3 linked regions of the Mus musculus genome follow. The protein of the gene in region 1 interacts with the protein of each later gene in a biochemical or structural test. Links are inferred from orthologs where the notes say so. Each region holds a gene or a part of one and is shown in the gene's direction. Other genes may lie near its edges. The genes, in order: Ube2k, Anapc11 and Rlim.

The links.
Region 2: the proteins of Ube2k (region 1) and Anapc11 form a complex in vitro, tested with the Homo sapiens proteins (3 studies listed by BioGRID). The link is inferred for Mus musculus from reciprocal best matches to the Homo sapiens genes UBE2K and ANAPC11.
Region 3: the proteins of Ube2k (region 1) and Rlim form a complex in vitro, tested with the Homo sapiens proteins (2 studies listed by BioGRID). The link is inferred for Mus musculus from reciprocal best matches to the Homo sapiens genes UBE2K and RLIM.

Annotation. Positions count from the first base shown.
Region 1 is NC_000071.6:65,589,120-65,593,103, forward strand, and holds part of Ube2k (ubiquitin-conjugating enzyme E2 K), read left to right. Parts: intron 1-2,756; coding exon 2,757-2,856; intron 2,857-3,984. UniProt on the Homo sapiens protein: Accepts ubiquitin from the E1 complex and catalyzes its covalent attachment to other proteins. In vitro, in the presence or in the absence of BRCA1-BARD1 E3 ubiquitin-protein ligase complex, catalyzes the synthesis of 'Lys-48'-linked polyubiquitin chains.
Region 2 is NC_000077.6:120,596,951-120,601,034, forward strand, and holds the start of Anapc11 (anaphase-promoting complex subunit 11), read left to right. Parts: upstream 1-1,581; 5' UTR 1,582-1,920; intron 1,921-2,291; 5' UTR 2,292-2,309; coding exon 2,310-2,418; intron 2,419-4,084. Other genes in the region: Alyref (THO complex subunit 4), read right to left, coding at 685-816, 1,155-1,388. UniProt on the Homo sapiens protein: Together with the cullin protein ANAPC2, constitutes the catalytic component of the anaphase promoting complex/cyclosome (APC/C), a cell cycle-regulated E3 ubiquitin ligase that controls progression through mitosis and the G1 phase of the cell cycle.
Region 3 is NC_000086.7:103,964,081-103,968,064, reverse strand, and holds part of Rlim (E3 ubiquitin-protein ligase RLIM), read left to right. Parts: intron 1-1,384; 5' UTR 1,385-1,408; coding exon 1,409-1,574; intron 1,575-2,730; coding exon 2,731-2,814; intron 2,815-3,984. UniProt on the Homo sapiens protein: E3 ubiquitin-protein ligase.

The DNA of each region.
Region 1 (3,984 bases):
TGTGAAAGTTTATATCACTGTGCCCGGCAGTGCCAGCTGTTCTGGAAGCATCATGCCAGGATCCACAATTGCTCTAGCTTCTCTAGAAAACTACATTCATCAATTAGACATTTTCATTCTAATTGTTTTCTTCTCTGCCCTTATATTAGACAGAGCCTTCCTTTATATTAGGGTGAACTAGACCTCCTGCCTACATCTCCCAAGTGCTAGGATTATAGAGCTTGCTACCATGTCTGACTTTCCTAAGATCATTTTAGAGACTAGTGTATAGTGGGTATTTTAATATATAAAATATAGACCTACATTGTGTGTGAACAGCTCTTGCCAATTAGCATATAAAGAGCAGGGTTCTACAAATACTGTCTTTGGTTATTTTCATTGGCCCATTTGCTCAAACACTCCTAACTTTTTTTTTTAAAGACTTATTTATTTATTATTATATGTAAGTACACTATAGCTGTCTTCAGACACACCAGAAGAGGGAGTCAGATCTCATTACGGATGGTTGTGAGCCACCATGTGGTTGCTGGGATTTGAACTCGGGACCTTTGGAAGAGCAGTCGGAGCTCTTAACCACTGATCCATCTCTCCAGCCCCACTCCTAACTTCTTATAGAGCAGGTCTTAGGTGAGGTCCTCAAATGAGCATGAGTAATACAGTCCTGAAGTTCCTGCACTTGGGAGGAAGAGACAGGAGGGTCCTGTTTTTCATCTGTCTTAAGATGACATAGTAGACTCTGTCCCCAAAACCAAGTCCCTAGACCTACTCATGCCACTAGTAAGAGGAAGAATATTTACTGACATTTACTGCATTAACATATGCTGCATCCAGAAAGTTGAGTTCCTTCGTGTTCTCTCTCTCTCTCTCTCCCTCCCCCCCCTCTCACCCGCCCTCCTCCCTCCCTTCTTCCTTCCTTTTTTTCTTTTCTTTTCTTTTCTTTTCTTTTCTTTTCTTTTCTTTTCTTTTCTTTTCCTTTCCCTTTCCCTTTCCCTTTTCTTTTCTCTCTTCTCTTCTCTTCTCTTCTCTTCTCTTCTCTTCTCTTCTCTTCTCTTCTCTTCTCTTCTCTTCTCTTCTCTTCTCTTCTCTTCTCTTCTCTTCTCTTTTCTTTCTTCTTTTTGCCTGAACATCTAGGGTTGTCTCTTGTGTATTATTCAAGGAAACTGAAAATAGTCACTAGGAATTTTTGTTGTTTGATTTTAGGAATTAGGAACTCAACCAGACAAGGCTGGTTTAGAATAACCGTCTGTGTGGTTAAAAAGTGAACTTACTGTGGTTAGAGATAAAGCTATAGTGTAGTGTGCTTGACTTTACAAGGCCCTCACTTAGGATGACAGTCAAATTCCTCTAGAAGAGTTTGCTCTGAGATTTTCTTGAGACAGGATTTCTTTGTGTAGCCCTGTCTGTCCTGGAACTAGCTTTGGAGACCAGGCTGGTCTTGAACTTACAGAGATCCATGTTCCTCTGCCTTCCAGATGTCATGTGCCATCATTGCCCTGTCAACATTCTAAACATTTCAGGATTAGTGAAGCAAACTTTAAACAAATAATTATTTCATAAAGACAAGGGCTTTTGGTATAAATATAATTAGGATCATGACTTAAATTATGAGATTGAATTTTATTCCTAATTGTGTCTGTGTATTGGTGTGGGTATATAGTTTATGTGGGTTCCTCCAGAGGCCAGAAGCAGTAAGTCCCGTGGAGCGGCAGTTTTAGGTCATTTGCCAGCAAGCCAGCAATGGGGGCTGGGACGCAAACACAGGCCCTTTGCAAGAATAGTACACGCATATAATGTGAGCCATCTCTCCAACCTCAAGTGTAATATTTTAAATAGAAAATTGTCCTATTTTGGAATACTATGGATTGATCTTTATCTCCGTGTTTTACTTAGCATGCCATTAAAGAGTTGTAGTGACTTAACTGTGGTTGAGGGCATGGGCTGCTTGCTCTGCAGTGATCCCAGGGGAGTCCTTGGTACCCACTCCATCAGCAGAGGATGGACTGCTTTTATCCTCTCCAAGCACCTGTACTCAAGTTCACTTATGCAGGCATGATTTAGACATTTAAAAGTCTGTTTAAAATTCCAGTTTATTAGTATTGGTAACTTAAATTATCACTTTATAATGAAATATGGGTAAGTGGTTGGAGAACTTGCTTAGTGGTTAAGAGCATGTGTTCTAGCGGGACACTGGTGGCGCACGCCTTTAATCCCAGCACTTGGGAGGCAAAGGCAGGCGGATTTCTGAGTTCGAGGCCAGCCTGGTCTACAGAGTGAGTTCCAGGACAGCCAGGGATATACAGAGAAACTCTGTCTCAGAAAAAAAAAGAAAAAGAAAAAAGAAAAAGAAAGAGCGAGCCTGTGTTCTTAAAGAGTGCTTGACCTCAGTTCCCAGCATCCATACAGTGACTCAGGCATCTCGAACTCCAGTTTTGACCTTCATGGGCACCAGACATTTAGCACCATTCATACATGGAGACAGAAACTCACACATAATATCTAAGAAGAATGTTAATTAAGATAAAGCTTACAAAGTAAGTAAATGGAACAAGCAGAGAAAACAGCAAGGTGAGGGTGAGGTGACTTGAATAATCTTAGAAATTGACTCATTGGAAGAATAGAAAATTGGTAATTGGTACACGTTAGTTAACTATACAATTTTTAGTTCTAGCGTATTTTTGTTTCCATTCAGAAAACAGACTTTGCTTATGTCATTCAAAGTCCTTTTAACGGTGATATTTTCCTAATTTGAAATTTAGGGCAGCAGCAATGACTCTGCGCACGGTATTATTGTCATTGCAAGCGCTGTTGGCGGCTGCAGAACCAGATGACCCCCAAGATGCAGTAGTAGCGAATCAGGTAAGAAAGTAGCTTTTGAAAGACTTTCTTAGACCTGTGTGTGTAGTTTTAAATATTTCATATTAGCATATTAACATTCTATGTTGTACTAAATTTGGAAATGGTTTCTTTTAATAAAATAATTTTGTCACATATAATAAAATCATGTTACAGGCTAGAGAGATAGCTCAGTGGTTAAGACTGCTCTTAACTCTGAACTCTTCCAGAGGTCTTGAGTTCAATTCCCAGCAACCACATGGTGGCTCACAACCATCTATAATGGGACCTGAGGCCCTTTTCAGGGCTGTCTGAAGACAACTGCAGTGTACTCATATAAAATAAATAAATCTTTAAAAATAATAATAAAATCATGTCATAATAAACAAATAACAAATAAAGAATAAACAAATACCTGTTAGGAACTCCATTATCACTTATGTCCAGATATGTACATTGCAGAGGTTCTGTGTGACTTAAGTTCTCCTTGTACACTTAACTCTTTTGTGATATTCTTTGATTTCAAGAGTTTTTAAAATTATAGTCGTGTTTATGTCATTGTGTTCTGTTTTCCTTGCTTCCTCTTTAAGGAAGCATTTATCAGCCAACCTTCAGATTTTTAAAAATGTGCTTATAAAATGGGTTCCCTTTAGCTGAAGAGATGACTCAGCACTTATGGGCATTAGCTGCTCTTCCAAAGGACCCAGGTTCAGTTCTCTATCACCCACATTTTAGCTCATGACAGTCTGTAAGTTCAGTTTCTGGACACCTTCACACAGACGTACATGTAGGCAAAACATGAATGTACATCAAATAAAAATAATTTTTTAAAATGTTCTTTCTTTTTCATAATATTTATTTATTTATTTAAAGTATATGAGTACACTGTAGTTGACTTCAGACACTGGAGAAGAGGGCGTCAGATCACATTGCAGATGGTTGTGAGCCACCATGTGGTTGCTGAGAATTGAACTCAGCACCTCTAGAAAAGCAGTCAGTGCTCCTAACCACTGAGCCATCTCTACAGCCCACCATTGCTTAGAACTACAGCTTTTAATAGTTTGCACATATGTGCTATTAATATTTGGTAGCAGAAGTCTTTCTTGAAGTTTATCTTTGATTTTCCCACAAATTGAGATAAATTGAGACATA
Region 2 (4,084 bases), on another chromosome or scaffold:
AACGGTACCCAGAAAGGCCCAGCACACCTGACTCAGTTCTGGCTATATCAAAGCTAATTCCCAAAATTATGCCTTGTAACCAGAGAACTCTAAATGCCTCTGAGGTCCAGTTTATAAAGAAATTTAAAAAGACACAAAATCCAAGAAGGGAGGGGAAGAGAAAAAAAATATTTCGAAGGCATGGAGAACCATGACCCAGGTAAGACCCAGGAAAGATCGCCAGTTAAGATCCAGCACAGAGACGCAGGCTGGAAGATACTCTCAGCCACCTTTCTCAGCATCTGGGAGATGCTGGACTTCCTTCTCCTATCAGTTCACCATATCGAGCATAAATCTGAGAAGCAAGCACCTTTCGGTCATGCTGGGACCGGAGTTGTGGCCAGTCTGTGCAGGTTAGAAACTGTAAGCTCTGGCACAGGGCAGGCGCTCACAGTTTGGACAGCAGACAGGACTCATTTTTAGGGGGGCGCGCGCACACACACACATACACACACAGTGTGTGACATCTTCCTGCAGCCTGGCTTATGGGGTCGTGCTCAAACCCTACTTTTTCTGAGGCCAAGGCTCTCAGGGTGACAGTGGCTGGCTCTGGGCAGCCTAGGGGAGGGCAGGTTCCAATCTGTAAAGGATCCTGGAGCCCACGTCCGCGTGGGACGAGGAAAGCGGAGAGCTCCCGTCTCCTACCTGAATATCAGCATCTGACACTCCGAAGTCCAGGTTGGACACCAGCAGCTTCCCGCCGGTCTCCACGCCGGCTCCACCCCCGAAGCCGCTGTCGAAGAGGTCGTGCTGCCATTTGTCGGGAAGTTGTTTCGGCTGGAGAGAAACCGTAAGCACAGAGACACTCGTGAGACTCGTCCCGGGAGCCCGCGACACCTCGGCGACGCTCTCCCGTCGGCCCCGCGGCCAAGGTCGAGGAGCCCCGAGAGTCCCCCAGCCCCGCCGCTCCGCTACGGACACCCAAGTTCTCTCGCAGCGGCCCCCGCCGCCACGAGGCTGGACCACGACCGGACAAAGCGTCCCGGAAGATCCTGGCCTCGGGACGGCCTCGCCCCCGCCCACCCCTCGGCCGCGGTCCCGCGCGGGACGCTCACCCGGTCCCGGCCGGCCCGGGCGCACCCTCCCCGGCCCGCGCCGCAGGTCCCCGCACTCACTCTGCTGTACGGCGCCGGCCGGTTCCTGCCGCCGCCTGCGGCGCCGCGGGCGATGGCGGGCCGGTTCCTCATAGGCCCGCCGCCTCGATTCACCCGCGCGGCGGCCTGCACTGCGCCGCCGCGGCCGCCCTGGGAGCCGGCCCTGCCGCGACCCCGGCCCCCGCCGCGGCCTCCTCGCTGGCTCCGGTTCAGCTTAATGATGTCGTCCAAAGACATGTCCATTTTGTCGGCCATGGCGGGCGCGGATTCGGGCCTCGGATCGAGCCCGCGCGTCAGCACGCCGCGGCGTCACTTCCGGCGCCTCCCCCTGCCTTCCGGCGTCGCGGGCCCGAAGCGAGCGGCGATTGGTCTGGGCGCGCGCGATTCCGCAGAGCGCCTGCGTACGGCTCGCCGCGGTGGCTGGCGCTACTTCGGAGGAGCCCGACGCGGCGCGGTCGTTTTTATACATTCCCGCGCGGAGGCAACGGAAGGGCGGGGCGCCTCGTGATTAGGCCGCGGAGGTGCGAGGGCGAGCAGGGGGCGGGGCCTGCGGGCGCCTCCCTGGGAGGCCGGAAGATCCTCGGGCGTCGCCTGGGTGCAGCGCAGTGTGCGCGTCCCGCGTCCCTCCTCACCGTGCGATCGTGGGGGTCCCGGCCGGTCCGTGGGTCCGACTTGGTTGTTTTTGCTCGAAGGCTCGGTCTCCTGACGAGCTGGCGTCCTCACCCCTGCTTTAACTTCGCGGATTAGTGACAGTCACTCTTTCCATATCTTTAAAAGCGAGGCCCTGGTTAGTGAAAACCAATGTTTTGCGTGGATGCGGAGGTTTTGTTTTTGTTTTTTTGTTTGTTTTCGTTTCCTGTTTGGCTGATCTGCTTCTGCCCCGGGATTAGAGGCGTGTGCCACCGTGCCAGACTACATGAGTGCAGATCTTTAAAGGCATCCTTAAAGGTGGCAAAATAAACTCGTGCCATTAATCCCACAGGCTCTCCTTGCCGTCTTTAAAGACAAACACGTGCCTTTTTCTTTCTTTTTGGTCGGGACGCACGGAATTTTGGAAGATGCCGTTCTTGACGAGTGCAGCACTTGCCGCAGCTCCATGACTTTGAGCTTAGGTGCTTTCGTATTCCGTACTAACTCCAGGTCATCCTCTTCCCTCAGGTCACAGGCTCTGTTGTCATGAAGGTGAAAATTAAATGTTGGAATGGTGTGGCCACTTGGCTCTGGGTAGCCAATGATGAGAACTGCGGCATCTGCAGGATGGCGTTTAATGGCTGCTGTCCAGACTGTAAGTGTCTTCCTATGCGCTCTCAGAACTTTAGCCTACTCCACCAGCCTAAAAATCCCTAGGTTTCCCAGCACTGGGTAGGCAGAGACTGGAGGATCTCTGAGTTTGAGTTTAGCCTGGTCAACAGGACAAGTTACCTAACCCTAACCGAAACCCCACCGGACAGTGGTGTTGCACGCCTTTAATCCCAGCACTCTGGAGGCAGAGGCAAGTGAATCTCTGAGTTCAAGGCCAGCCTGATCTACAGAGGGAGTTCCAGGACAGCCAGGGCTACACAGAGAAACCCTGTTTTGAAAAAAAAACAAAAAACAAAACAAAACAAAAACAAAAAGCCAAACAGTGCAAGTTCCAGGATAACCAGGGCTACAAAGAAAAGCCCTGACTTGATAAAAGACCAGGTAAAACAAAAACAAAAAATTGTGGGTTTTAGTTTCTATTATCTGAGGGGAAAGTCGACAGAAAAAAGAAGCAGAATACTTCAAGCCCAGGTTTGTCTAAAGACCCCATCCAGCATGATGGCAAACACCTGTAATACTAGCATTTGAGAGGCAGAGGCAGAGACTAGTGGATCTCTGAGTTGGTGGCCAGTCTGGGCTCCACAGTGAGACTCTGTTGCAAAAACACTTGTTTTATTCAGGTCATGGGGGCACAGACCATAATAGCACTTAGTAGAGGGAGGCAAGAGGATTTTGAGGTTGAGGTCTGCCTAGGCTACATAGTGATGATCCATCATTCCCTTAACCCCTCAGAATAACACTTTCAGTTTGTATCTACTCACAATAAAGCAGATCAAATTAGCAAATTGAAGTTCAGACATTGGTTGCCATATTGTCATGCTTGCTGGGCTTTTTGTGCTAAGAATTGTAAACTCTAAATAGATGCTTATAAACTATAAACACACTTCAGCCAAGTCTTACCTCTGTAGCATCCTGGGCCAACATCTGTTCCCTAATGTCTAATTACTGGGGTTTGGGCTATACTCAGCATCTCAGTATTCTTGGTCTTTCTTCCTCTTTGATCTAAATAGCCTCTTCTTACTCTACTTCCGTTTTGAAGGGGCTTGAATTTTATGATCATAATGTGTTTTGCAGAATGCAAAAGGTTTTACCCTTTTTTTGTTTGTATGGCTCCTATGTTTCTGGTGTGTTACATGAGGTAGAAATGTTTGATTACCTTGAGAGGAAAACACATTTACGCCAGGTGGTGGTGGTGGCAGCACACACCTTTAATCCCAGCACTTGGAAGGCAGAGGCAGGCGGATTTCTGAGTTTGAGGTCAGCCTGGTCTACAGCCAGGGCTATACAGAGAAACCCTATCTTGAAAAAAAAAAAAACATACAAACAAACAAAAAAACTCACATTTACCTTTTGAGACAGGATCTCATTATAGCCTTAGCTAGTCTGAACGTCCCTATGTACACCAGGTTGGTCACAAAGTCACACCGAGATCTTCCTACCTTTGACTCCTGAGCTATGGGACTAAGGGTGTGCACTGTAGTGAGATTTTTGCTTTCTTTAAAACCACAGAAATGGTATAAGGATGTGGTTTTGCTTTGATCCCAGGTGTGGGACATGGGGCTTCTCAGATACTTCATGGCAGCAGATAGTTTCTGAGGGACTCTTCAAAGAACACATAAACGCCAGAGCCCAGTTACTCAGTTTGTCAG
Region 3 (3,984 bases), on another chromosome or scaffold:
TCCTTCCCACTCATGCAGCTCCACCCCTTTCTCTCTGTTGGAAACCAGAGGCACATGAACCCCTCCCCAGCTGCTTGCTGATACCTAACCTCTGCTTATATGAACGGCAACATGCCTCTCAAGGACTTAGAAAATAGTGTCCACATATAAGAGAAAACATTATTTTTCTTGGAGTCTGAGTTATCTTACTCAGGTTGTTTTTCTAGCTTCATCCACTGACCTGTAAATTTCCATTTTTAACAGCTAAATAAAAGTACAATGTATTTTTTTAATGAAATGTTTTAGACGAGATCTTTCACCTTGGGTTTTCTAATTAGCAGAGCATAGATTTTTTTTCTTGAATTGGGACCATTTTGACAAATATTTTAGTCTAATTTTATACTACTTTAGCGTACTGATAGTATCTGCCAAAGTGCAACCTTGGTCATCTAATGCGGTTAAAAGTAGGTAGCCGGGCTGGTGAGATGGCTCAGTGGGTAAGAGCACCGACTGCTCTTCCGAAGGTCCAGAATTCAAATCCCAGCAACCACATGGTGGCTCACAACCATCCGTAACGAGGTCTGACGCCCTCTTCTGGAGTGTGTGAAGACAGCTACAGTGTATTTACATAAAATAATAAATAAATCTTTTAAAAAAAAAAGTAGGTAGCCTCTGCTGTGCTTTTTATATGTGTTGTTCAAATGTGTTTCTCAGTTACTGCAAAGAGTCTATACTTGCATGTTTTTAAAAAGTCACAGGATGATACACATGCCATACTTGAAATCATATCAAGTTGCAAGTGCATTGAGGTAACTGGAAGTGCAGAGAGCAGCGGTGCAAAGTAGTGAGGGACCCACTTACAGTCTGTCCCAGTTGCTCATTTCACCCATAACACAAGCATGCATGGCTGTGCTTCACTAAGACTAGGGATACTGGTGTGTATTTCCTATTTTTCATACACGGCAAACATTTTTGAGAATGTGAAAATAGCCAAGCATTATGGCACATGTCTATAAGCCCAGCACTTAAGAGGCTTAGGCCGGAGAACCGTGTTTGAGTTGACTGGACCACACAGACTTCCCTGGCTGAAATAACTATCAAACCCAGGAGCTGGATGTGTATCCTCATGGTGGGACGTATTCAAGGAAGGCCCTAGGTTCACTTCCTACCATGTAAAAAGCCATTTTTAGATTACAAAGAAGATAAAAATAGGCCACATTACTGAATTAGGCCCAAACAAACACTATGGTTGCTACCTTACCAGTGCTTTCCCAAAGTTTTGTTATATTTAATTTATTTGTTTTTCTTAAAGTTCACATCTATTCCTGCATTGTAGTTTCCAAGTAAATAAAGGTACGCAATGCATAATGGCGTCTGTTTTCAATTTGGTCTTTTTGCTTTTTAGATAATTTTCCACTTGATCACCAAGATGGAGAACTCAGATTCTAACGATAAAGGAAGTGACCAGTCTGCAGCTCAGCGCAGAAGTCAAATGGATCGCTTGGATCGGGAAGAGGCTTTCTATCAATTTGTGAATAATCTCAGTGAAGAAGATTATAGACTTATGAGAGACAACAATTTGCTGGGCACCCCAGGTAAGCTGCATGTAATATGTGATATATATATATATATATATATATATATATATGTTGCTGGGTTTTTAAAGAAACAGCTTGTTTTATAATGTTTCTTTACTTAATGAAAAGTTACTAATACAGGAGATGCAAAATGGCAGTTGCTACTTTATTTATTTATTTATTTATTTAGGTCTTTCGAGACAGGGTTTCTCTGTGTAGCCTTAGCTGTCCTGGAACTCACTTTGTAGACCAGGCTGGCCTTGAACTCAGAAATCCACCTGCCTCTGCCTCCCAAGTGCTGGGATTAAAGGCGTGCGCCACCACGCCCGGCTGCTACTATATTTATTGCCTGGTTCATAATTAGAGTATTCCTGTCAGAGATGTTTGTGATTTTTGAATTATAAATCTTTAGTGAAATGGATCAAATAAGAATTGAGGTGAACAGTTTAGCTAGCTATGCATCTGGGTACAAAATAACCAATGGGCCTTTGGTGTCGAGGATAGACTCATCGACTCATTTTGTCATCTCATCTTATTCTCTGAATGTGTCCCACCTGCAACCCTACAGAGTTAGCTGTGGGTAAACAGCTTGTCCTTAGTTATAATTTCACTGAGGTATGGTCTCATTTGATCCTAGTTACAACTGACTATTTCCACTAACCTGTGGACGATTTCATTCATATTCATTCTCTCTCTCTCTCTCTCTCTCTCTCAATGATTTTAGAGCTTTATTGTAGAAATGCAGAGAGAAGGTAGAAAGAGGGAGACCAGTCATGGCCACGTGGAGAGAAGGGGGGAAGGGAGGGGAGAAAGGAGAGTTAGAGTAAGTAATCACTTTCATTCATTTTCAGATGTTAGGGTTTTAGCAAGGCTTAGGCGGAGCTTTTTGAGCAAACAGTACTAAACTTTAATTAGAATGTCTTAACTGCACTTCTGGCCCTGCTGTTATTCAGTTACCCTGCTTTCTGGCAAAACAGTTTAAAGTGCAGATCACAAAGCCTGACAGGACATGGTGGCACTTGCCTGTAATCCCAATTGCACAGGAGGTTCTTGAGTTTGAGGTCATCTTGTATGGACCCTTCTTTAAAAAGAATCATTGGGGGGGGTGTGGAAAAGACAGAAACTGACCTGCTGTTCTTAATTTGTAATTTTGCAACACATGTTCAACTTTCAGGTGAAAGTACTGAGGAAGAGTTGCTCAGAAGACTACAACAAATTAAAGAGGGTCCACCACCACAGAGCCCCGATGAAAATAGAGGTACATTTTGTTTGGGGAGGTGGGTCGGGGTTGGAAACATAGGAACTTTCGAATAGTGAATTTCAACCAAAGATTATCCAGAAATGCCACAAATTAATCTGGTGCTAAGTACTCATAAAAAGAGAAATGTCATGCTCTTGCTATTTGGGGAGGAGGGTGACACTGCTGTGTCTGCCTCACCTTTGGATTGTTTGTTAATTGAGCAACAGTGAAAGTCACCTATTTAAGTTGAGTTTCCTCCCCTTGGTTTTCTACATCCGTTGAAATGTTCTCCTACTCATTCCTTATTTATGAATGTGGCTTTATCAGCAAAAGGAAATGCTGTTGTTAGCCCAGCACCTTTCAGTTGGGTGTTTGTTCCTCCTGGGGGCTGTTAGCAATGACTGGAGACATGTTTGGTGGCACAGCTGATGAGAGTTTGCTGTTAGTATCAGAGAGCAAGTATGCTGGGGAATGGTGCTTCTCTGCAGGAACCTAGGAGCTATGATGGAAGTGTAAATTACTCTAGGTTCAGACTGTTCATTTAATAATAGTCTTTAGTTTTATAGAAATTGAAAATCTTGATAATTGACAAATATTCAAGTAATTATAAACTGTTAGCCTTGTTTATAGTTTTGCTCTGGCTGTAATAAATATTCTTACATTTTAAAACAACTTCGTGGTATCAAAGACAGCTAAAACTGATGAAAATTTGGTAGAAATATAATTGGACCAAAACCCCAACACTCCCCCAACCCCCACCCCCGACTATGATGATGTAGTTTGATTTTGTTTAGACAGTGGCCTGGAAAATTCATGCCTTCCCACAGCCTCAGCATCTTCTAGAGCAGTGGCTCTCAACCTTCCCAATGATGTGACCCTTTAATACAGTTCAAGTTGTGGTGACCCCCAACCATAAAATTATTTCATTGCTACTTCAAAGCTGTAATTTGCTACTGTTATGAATCATAATGTAAATATCTGATCTGCAGATGGTCTTAGTTGACATCCATGAAAGCCATGAAAGGGTTGTTTGAGCCCCCCAAAGGGGTCATAACCCACAGGTTGAGAACTGCTGACGCTTAAGTGTCTTTTAGCTTTCTCTTTTCAATGTAAATTTGTAAAATTTGTTCCGAGTTGCACAATTCTTTAATGTTTATGTGCATCCCATGAGTGTCCTAATCGTGTAGT